3 linked regions of the Oryzias latipes genome follow. The protein of the gene in region 2 binds, or shares a complex with, the protein of the main gene of each other region. Links are inferred from orthologs where the notes say so. Each region holds a gene or a part of one and is shown on either strand. Other genes may lie near its edges.

Region 1 (2,216 bases), on a different chromosome or scaffold from region 2:
AAATATTTTATGTTTCAAAATGATCAAAAAGTGTCATCTAAAAAGTGTTAATTGTTTTAAAAATATTTTAACTGATTGAGGCTTAGCTTTGATTCCCATTCTCTGGCTTTTGCTGTGTCATCTGAAGAATCCTTATTGAATGTATCTTTTTCTTTGCACCATTGAATCATCCACCCCATCTAACCCCATCTCCCCTCACACCAATCACCCTCATGTCCTCCTTTATTACATCCATAAACCTCCTCTTTGGACTTCCTCTAGGTCTCTTTCCTGGTAGCTCCAATCTCAGAATCTTTTTACCAACATCATCATTGTCCCTCTTCTTAGTGTGTCCAAACCATCTCAATCTACTTCTCTGCATTTATCTCCAAAACATCGAATACAAGCTGTTCCCCTGATTTTTTTTTCCTTCCTAATCCTATCCATCCTCATAACTCCAAAAGAAAGCCTCGGCATCTTCATCTCTGCAATCTCTAGCTCTGCCTCCTGTGTTTTTCTCAGAGCCCTTGCCAAGACTGAGGCTGCTCTAACCAATCGTTTGCGCCTTTCTGTTCATTGTTGCTGAGGCTTTTAAAAAAAATGTAATATAGCTAATGTTGTGAATCTTTAAGCTTTAACTGATATTCACTCTACCTCAATCACAGTTCTTTGCTGATGTAAATCAACTCAAAACTAAGATCGTCTTTGAATGATAGTCATTTTGAAAATGATATGTTATTCTCCTGCTTCTGGTAGATTTCCCTAAACTAAACTTAAAAAAAAAATCAATTTGTGGTCTTTTTCTTTGCAGCCTGTTAGCCTGTCAGATCGAGAGGTGATTTCACGGCTGAGGAACTGCTTACTGGCCTTGGCTGCACACAAAGTCCTTTTGTACGACACCAGTGTTCTCTATTGCTATGAATCTTCCCTGCAGCATTCGGTAGGAAACCAAAAGTTAAAAAAAAAAATACCCATAATATTTCATAAACCGTGTCCTTTTTTCTGATACGATGAAATAAAAACCTTGCAGTGATTATACTTTTTGTTTTTGCAATAAATTGCGCCATCTGGTGGTGACATAATAAATCGGCCTGGAACTAGGAACCTTCACATTTATTTGTATTTGCAGAATGGAACAGACATTATTTATTGAAATAAACAAATCAGATATAAATATATGTTTTTAATTTATTCTGAGAAATGGTAAATTTATGAGCAATTCGTGTATTTTGGTGAAATGCATGTAACTATAAATGTTTCTGGACTTTTACAAAACGATAACAACCTGTTTTAAAGATTTCCCTTTTCCCTGCCTGTAGGTCAAGGACATCTTAAAACCCGAGGTGATGGAAGAGATTGTCATGTTGACCCAACAGAAGCTGCTGGAACAGGAAGGATAAAAGGCTAATGCTAAAACCACATCCAACAACGGGGCCACCATCCACTTATCCAAAAATTAAGTTTAGTTGTCTTCTATGAATCAAAGTGAGGTGCTCAGAGATCACATTCTTTATTTGATATCAAACATTAATAATGCATATAACCTGAATGAAAATTAAAATGTTGTCCACATTTGTAAATGCTCGGTGTGACATTACATTGTGATGGTTTTGTATAAAATAAAATTTCAGTCATTTCTGTATAGTTCTCATCGTGGTCTGTATTGATAAAAAACAATGAGTACATTGAATCAATTAACCTATAAGAACCCATGGTGGACATAATTGTAACAAAATCATCAAAAGTGTGTTCTTTGGTCCACTTGGATTTTTGTATATTCAAAATAATTTTCGTTTGAAGGAAAATGGGTCTTCAGGGTTAATGTTAGATCTTAAAATAAATCTGATTATTTCACTCTTCATTAAATGTTAAATTAAATATTGTTAAATGTTTAGCAGCATTTTGGTGCTTCATGCTTCTACTAACTTAAATACTTTTTTTTCATAACAGTCTGAATCATTAGCTCTCAAGAAATGTTTTTTATTTTAAACAATAAAAAAATGAAATTCAATTTGCTACATAAAATATTTATTAGTTGGAACATGGCCTACATTTCCCTTTTTATGTACTAATTTTTGAAAATTCATTAATTGTTAGTTTTATATGCAGGATTTAATTTTTTTTCTCATAGTTGTTTGATAACTAAAAAAAATGTTCTACTCTAAGACAGGTTAATAAAAAGTGACTTTATTTATATAAAAGTGTGCAATCACCTTTGTTATTCCTGAATGTTTTTT
Region 2 (3,765 bases):
AAGAATCCAGAAGATTTCACGTTTCCTGAAGCCTTAGGGAATCGAACCACGTCCGCCCCGCCCGCTGTGATCGTTAGCTAAATCCCCGCTAACGCGTGTACTCAATGGCTTCTTCCTGGTTTCTGGTCTCCGTTTAATTAACAAGGTAATTTGCTAGCTAGTTCTTCGACTTAAACTTTAATAAGTCACTGTATTTTATGTTTTCTTGAAGGGTCTCATCCAGAAATCTCTGCGGGAGGAATAAAAACGCACCCATACCCAACCAGGAAGTTTGATTACCCCTAGTAGATTCGCCCTGGGTATGGTCTGTCAGGAGAGAACCCGGGAAGGACTTCCTGTAAACTGACCAATCAGATTATGGTCTAAAATTAAATCCACCCCTTTGGCCAAAACGCAGGGCAATTTTTCTTCCATTTAAAATCATTTTATTTTTTTTACAAGTACTTCCAAAAAACACCCAAATAATCATATTTCTGACAATACATACTACAATACAATGCAATCAAACCACAATTTACAGATCTGAAAATTAATGATATTCCCCTAAAAGATGAAAAAAAAATGCACCAATAAATTAGTAACTCTAACCTTTAAACAAATAACTTTCTGCAACTTTAGTATAAACAATAGACGGGACTTAGAAACCACCCTAATGAACACATTTTTTTCTTTATACACAAAGTACCCACTTCCACCTAAAATGAAAGAAACGCATTTTAAAATAATATCTCAAATTTACCCTGTTGGAGATTTTTTTACATAAAAGATTCAAATTTCAATCGGAGCCATGCCTATTCTGTTAATCTGAAACTGAAACGTTAGAACATCTCTGTTACAGTTACAGATAAAAATATTTTGGACTGATATTCACAATTGGTTGTCACTCAAAGTTTTAAATATTCCCTTTTTTCCTTATCTGTTGTTATTTTCTATATGGAAAATATGGACCCAGGAATTTCTGATGTCATTAATGTTGTTATTATTTAATGCAAAAATTTCATTCATTTATGTAAATGGAAAACTACATGCCCTTTGTTTGGTATTTTTTGAATTACTTTTCTGATTATTATAAGTGTCTTAAATGCATTCCAAACAAAAACAAGAAAACTACAGTAATTTATCAAAATATATCAAACGTACTGTTATTTTGAATTGTTTTTTGCCTTGCCTTTATCATATTTTTTAAATTTTGTTTTGTTTTTTCAATATGCGCATTTATAACGATTGTTCACCCTAACTTGTTTTGTATATGTGCATTTATAAATATAAAAAAATCTGAATATAATTAAATAGAAATATATTTTAAAACTGTCTATATACTCTTTATGATATGGACAAACATAGCACAAGCATCTACATTCCTACACAGAAGAAAAAAAAGATTACTCTCAAAAATGTATTATTATTGTCATTATTTTATTATTATTATTGTTTTTGTATTATTATTATTATTATTATTATTATTATTATTATTATTATTATTATTATTATTATTATTATTATTATTAAATTTTGTGATGTTGAACAGCAGCTCCCACTTCTTCCAGGTGGTGGCGACATAGTTCCTTCATCGAGAAAACTGTAGAAGAAGAGCCTCCCGGCACCGTTTCTTCTTCTTCTGTTTGTTGAGTTAACATGGCAACAGTTAAAGTTAGCGAGGCTGAAAAGGTGTACATTCTACACGGAATAAGAGTGAGTTGTTCTAGAAATGTGTGCTCTATTAAGCTAAATGTCTGTGAAGTTGTCACACCAACCTAAAGATGTGGATGTTTGTATTCTCCTCAGGATGATTTACGTGTGGATGGAAGAAGCTGTGAGGACTACCGACACATGGAAGTGGAGACGGATGTGGTCTCAAACACTGATGGATCTGCCAGAGTCTCCCTGGTAAAATCAACATTTACGTGTGAAAGATCCGCAGAAACAGTGTCTTTATTTTCCTTCCATCGTGCTTCTCAGGGACACACCGCCGTCCTGGTTGGGATTAAAGCAGAAATAGGAAAACCAAGACCACTGGTTCCAGATGAAGGATACCTGGAGTTCTTTGTTGATTGGTAGGTTTAGTGTGCATTTAAAGCAGGTTTGGACATCAAAATGTGCACAATTTGACATTTGACAGAATTGTATTGCATCAAAACAGTAAAGAAAAACATTGAATAGCCTCTATAGTTTATTAAAATGAATAATGTTTGCATTTTTGGCTTGATATAAATATTAGAAATACCTGAACCCTAAACCGTTACATATTTGATTTCTTTTTGGCTAAGTTGGGAAGTCTCTCTTGATGTTTTTGTTGAGATCATTACATGTTCTAAAGCTTATAATGCATGTTTAAATATTTTTTGTGTTTGTTTTTGAAGTTTGAAGGATGTCTTTGTCCTGCGAAGCATTTTAAAGTAATGAGGATGTTTTAAAAATAAAGTTTATTTTGGATATCTGTTTTTGTTTAAATCATCTTGCAGGATAATAAACTCCTAAACTAATAACTGCTGGGATTAACTGTTGCACCATTGACTCAGTTTTCCCCACTTCTCTCCGCTTTCTTCTGATTCTGTAACTCCTCATTCCGATTGGCTGAACTCACCTGATCCAGGTATTCAGCTTTAAGACGTAGAGGGTGTTCATGAGGACCATGCCGGGCTGTTCTGGTTTAAGAATCGGAACCAAACTGAGTTATTGTCAATGTTTGATGTTTTTTTTTGATTCCCTGACATTTTTTTCCCCAACACCCCCAGCTCTGCCAACGCCACCCCCGAGTTTGAAGGCAGAGGAGGTGAGGAGCTAGGGATCGAGCTGAGCAACACTCTCTACAGAGTCTTCAACAACAAGAACAGCATAGACCTGAAGGGCCTCTGCATCAGTGCTGGGGAGCACTGCTGGGTTCTCTATGTAGATGTCCTGGTGAGTCTCTTTAACATAAAAATATAAACACAACATAAAAATGTTAAAAATAAAACAATAAACACAACAACAATAGACGTAAATTCAGTAATAATGCTAAATCTTATGATTTTTAAGTTTTTTAGAATTTTGGGTAAAAAATTGGGTTAAAAAAACAGGTTGAAGTAGACATTTACATGTTTTTTGTTTGTTTAGGAAAAACTTGTTGCTGCATTTAGATTTTTTTTTTAAATAAAGTTAAGCAAGTGTTTTGTTTACCTTGTATGCATTAAAAATGAAATGCTGAAGTATGTCTGCTGTGCTGCTGAGGGGTAGCAGATGGGGTCAAATCAGGTTAAAATTAAGAAAAAATAAGGTTGTAAACTTGAAAAAAGAAAAAGAAGAATGTTTTGAAATGGTGTTAAACTTGAAATTATACATTCTAAACTTGAAGAAATACAGAAAATTGGATACAAAGATTGTAGATTTAAAACTTAAACTAAAAAAACTATAAACTTACAAATGTTACCAAATAAAAAATGATCTTCATTTGTAGCAGCTGCCGTTTTATATAGTGAAGTTTTGGTTTTTTCGTTTGTTTAACTAACAAAAACATACCAGTTTCTAATAAACATTAATTTTATTTCATTTTCACTGTAGGTTTATAGTTTTTTTATTCTAGTTTCATAATTATATGCTGTTGTTTTTTTTTCTTTCTAATTTTAAGCGTCATTTCTTCATAGTTGGGTAAAATAATTAAGAGACACTGATGTAACTCCATAGTAGCACTTCAACTTGTGAAAGTATCAAGAAATATGTATTTTATTTTATTTTTTGTTCCTTAAACCCCAAATAGTCATACCGGCCTGCAGTGGATGCAGTTTG
Region 3 (2,993 bases), on a different chromosome or scaffold from region 2:
TTTAATCCAGGTTTGAGCAGTCCAGGTCCTGCGGTTTTTGAACAGGACCTGGTCTAAGGTGGACTCAGTGCGTAAAATGCGATAAACATCAATCTATTTCAGATTTTCACAAATCAAAGGAAGGTTTCACAAATCAGAAACTATATTTAATGTGTTCTTTAGTATCTAATGTATAATTTAATCCAGGTTTGAGCAGTCCAGGTCCAGCGGTTTTTGAACAGGACCCGGTTTTGGGTGATCTTAATGCGAAAAATGCAGCGGAATGTTTCTTTTGTGCCTTCGCGAATCGGAAGCTGTGAATCGGAAGCCAACTTCAGCGTCGTAAACCGCCATTATACTGACAGTCATCATTTCTTTCAAACTGGCCCTAAAACTATACTATATTTCGAAGCAAAGGTAAGTAAAACTATTTGGAAAACCTTTCATTCTAAATCTGACAAATCAAAATGCACTAACTGACCTGACGCTAGCAAACTGCTATGCTAGCCAGTCAAAAGCAACCGCTGAAATTTCCGTCCCTGCTAGTGAATTTGGAAGTCAACTATGAGGGGAAAACTAACCGGCGAATCAACACAGTGAGTGTCATTTACCCAAGCAAGTAGTTTGACTCACATAAGATGCTGTTATCACAAAACGAACCGGTCACAGCTCCCCAAAACACCGCTTCAGTCCACGCTGCTCGCTCAGAAGGGAAGTGCAGAGGCGATGGACACGCCCACGGACGCCACCTATTGGTTCAGATGTGCAGGAAGCCGGCGAACGCTCAATCCCATTGGTCGAGCCAAGCTGTCAGTTTTAGCCGAGCCCGCCACATTAGTGGTGCAAACTCCTCTGCTGTGGTTGATGCAATGAAAAAGACGCAGATGCCAACTAGCACGTACAATTTATTTTAGTTGTGCAACGAATAATTAATTTCTAACAAAAGTTATACACATTCGAAGCATTTCTAGCTAAAAGAAAAGGCGTAACGGAATTTTGCTTTGACTAAATTGCTAAGATTTAGCTATTGCGTGTATTTTATTTACTGTTACAAATAAAATATGTTGAAAATTAAATAATACCATCAGAATTAATTTATTTTTTATGAATAAATTCAAATTAATAAAGATGATGAAACATGACAACACTATCGGAACAAGCGGAACCGTGTTGCTGTGGGGACAGATTTATTGACGGACCGATCCCTGAACACCCGCTTCATTCGGTTCACGTGAGAAGAGATCGCCATGCCGACGGACACCAAACGTGTACGCGGGCCCGAGGTGTCTCAAAGCCCGTCTTTGTTTGACTGCAGACCCTCTGTGGTTCCCCCGTCGCATGGGGCCCGAGCGGACGGCCGCCAGCGGGACCAGGTGGACGTCCGGCCGGTGTTTGTGCGCTGCGGCCTGGTGAGTCAAGCTAAAGGTTCCGCGTACATAGAAGCTGGAGACACCAAGCTGCTGTGCAGCGTTTACGGCCCGAGAGAGACGGAGCGGAAAGATGAGACTGACATGAAATGTGGACGGTATGTAGTGGTCTTCATCCAGTTTTATAATGGAAGACTAATAGAAATATGTTTGCATTCAATGATATAACAAAGTAAAAAATAACTATGTGATAAGGCTGTAATTGGATTCTGCTAGAATTAGTAAAATAGAAAATCAGTTTAATTTTTTAAACAATACATTTAAAGTCAAAAGTTGATAAATCAACACATCTGCTTAACCAGACTGACCACAGACATGCGCTTCGCCCCGTTTTCCTGTCCGGAGAGGGGCTCCTGGATCCAGGGGAGCCAGGACAAGAACTTCTCCCTGATGCTGCAGGAGAGTCTGCAGCCGGCCTTGTGCCTTCACAAATACCCCCGCTCCCAGATTGAGGTCAACGTCATGGTCCTGGAGAACAGCGGTTCGGTTCAGGCCCACGCCATCACGTGCGCCTCCCTGGCACTGGCTGACGCGGGGATTGAAATGTACGACCTGGTGCTGGGCTGCTCCATCCGACAGGATGGCTCCTCCTACGTGGTCGACCCCACTTACTCAGAAGAGAGCAACTGGAGCAGCAGCGAACACCAAGGAGGGCTCACCGTGGCGTTTCTCCCCAGCCTGAACCAGGTTTCCGGCCTGCAGTCGGATGGAGAAATGGCTGAAGAGACTCTGACGGCAGGGATTCGGACCTGCATTGAGGGATGTTACAAACTGTACCCAGTAATCCAGCAGGCTTTGGTTAAGGCTGTGCGCAGAGCGCAACCCCCACCACCCGAAAGCTGAGAGGCAAAGTCAACACTATTTTTTGTCTGAGTCTTCAACAAGAACTTTAAAATTCAAAACAGTTTTTCACCTTGTTTCTTGATCTGAGGTGAAAGGATCCGCCAGCGTCCCCCTGATCTAAGAAACAGATTGATCCTATTTATTCATTTCTCCACCGTCTGCCTGCAGGACAAAACTTTGAGTCAGTTTGTTGATTTTTTTTTTTCCCCCCATGCCCCAAAAATCTAAATAAGGTAAACAAAGTTTTTCCTGCTCTTTATGCTATAGGGGAGAAAAAAGAAAACAAATTATGAAAAACTGAGAATGACTGGTTTAAAAAAAGAAAATGTTTTAATGCAAATGTCTGTTTTGTTATTTTAAAAATAAAAATACAGAATAAAAAATAAAAAATCCTAGTCTTTTTGTATTTTGGTTAGCATTTTATCACAGAAATGTATAATACAGAAGGTCAGATTGCATTTGTTTGCACATTTTCTTTAAAGAAAAAGTACCAAACTCCTATTTGTTCTCCAAAGTGAAACTCAGCTTGGATATTATATGGTAATGTGTCACCCGTGTTTTCATTCAGGATCTGATACTACGCTTTGAATTGCTCCAATTCAGGAAAAGTGACACAAGCTCCACTACCTCAGTATCATTTGCCCATCGCTAGTTTGTAATATTTATTCCATTTTTTCCTGTTTTACTAAATAGTTTTCTTCCTTCTAGTCTTTCCTAATAAATACACCGTAAAAAAATACATTT

The links.
Region 1: exosc7 (region 2) and exosc2 share a complex: the UniProt entries of both Homo sapiens proteins name them as parts of the RNA exosome core complex. The link is inferred for Oryzias latipes from reciprocal best matches to the Homo sapiens genes EXOSC7 and EXOSC2.
Region 3: exosc7 (region 2) and exosc6 share a complex: the UniProt entries of both Homo sapiens proteins name them as parts of the RNA exosome core complex. The link is inferred for Oryzias latipes from reciprocal best matches to the Homo sapiens genes EXOSC7 and EXOSC6.

Annotation. Positions count from the first base shown.
Region 1 is NC_019870.2:12,827,912-12,830,127, reverse strand, and holds the end of exosc2 (exosome complex component RRP4), read left to right. Parts: intron 1-790; coding exon 791-919; intron 920-1,298; coding exon 1,299-1,379; 3' UTR 1,380-1,623; downstream 1,624-2,216. UniProt on the Homo sapiens protein: Non-catalytic component of the RNA exosome complex which has 3'->5' exoribonuclease activity and participates in a multitude of cellular RNA processing and degradation events.
Region 2 is NC_019869.2:5,728,476-5,732,240, reverse strand, and holds the start of exosc7 (exosome complex component RRP42), read left to right. Parts: upstream 1-1,553; 5' UTR 1,554-1,635; coding exon 1,636-1,692; intron 1,693-1,785; coding exon 1,786-1,887; intron 1,888-1,959; coding exon 1,960-2,054; intron 2,055-2,735; coding exon 2,736-2,901; intron 2,902-3,765. UniProt on the Homo sapiens protein: Non-catalytic component of the RNA exosome complex which has 3'->5' exoribonuclease activity and participates in a multitude of cellular RNA processing and degradation events.
Region 3 is NC_019864.2:25,018,348-25,021,340, reverse strand, and holds exosc6 (exosome complex component MTR3), read left to right. Parts: upstream 1-847; 5' UTR 848-1,226; coding exon 1,227-1,504; intron 1,505-1,708; coding exon 1,709-2,249; 3' UTR 2,250-2,443; downstream 2,444-2,993. UniProt on the Homo sapiens protein: Non-catalytic component of the RNA exosome complex which has 3'->5' exoribonuclease activity and participates in a multitude of cellular RNA processing and degradation events.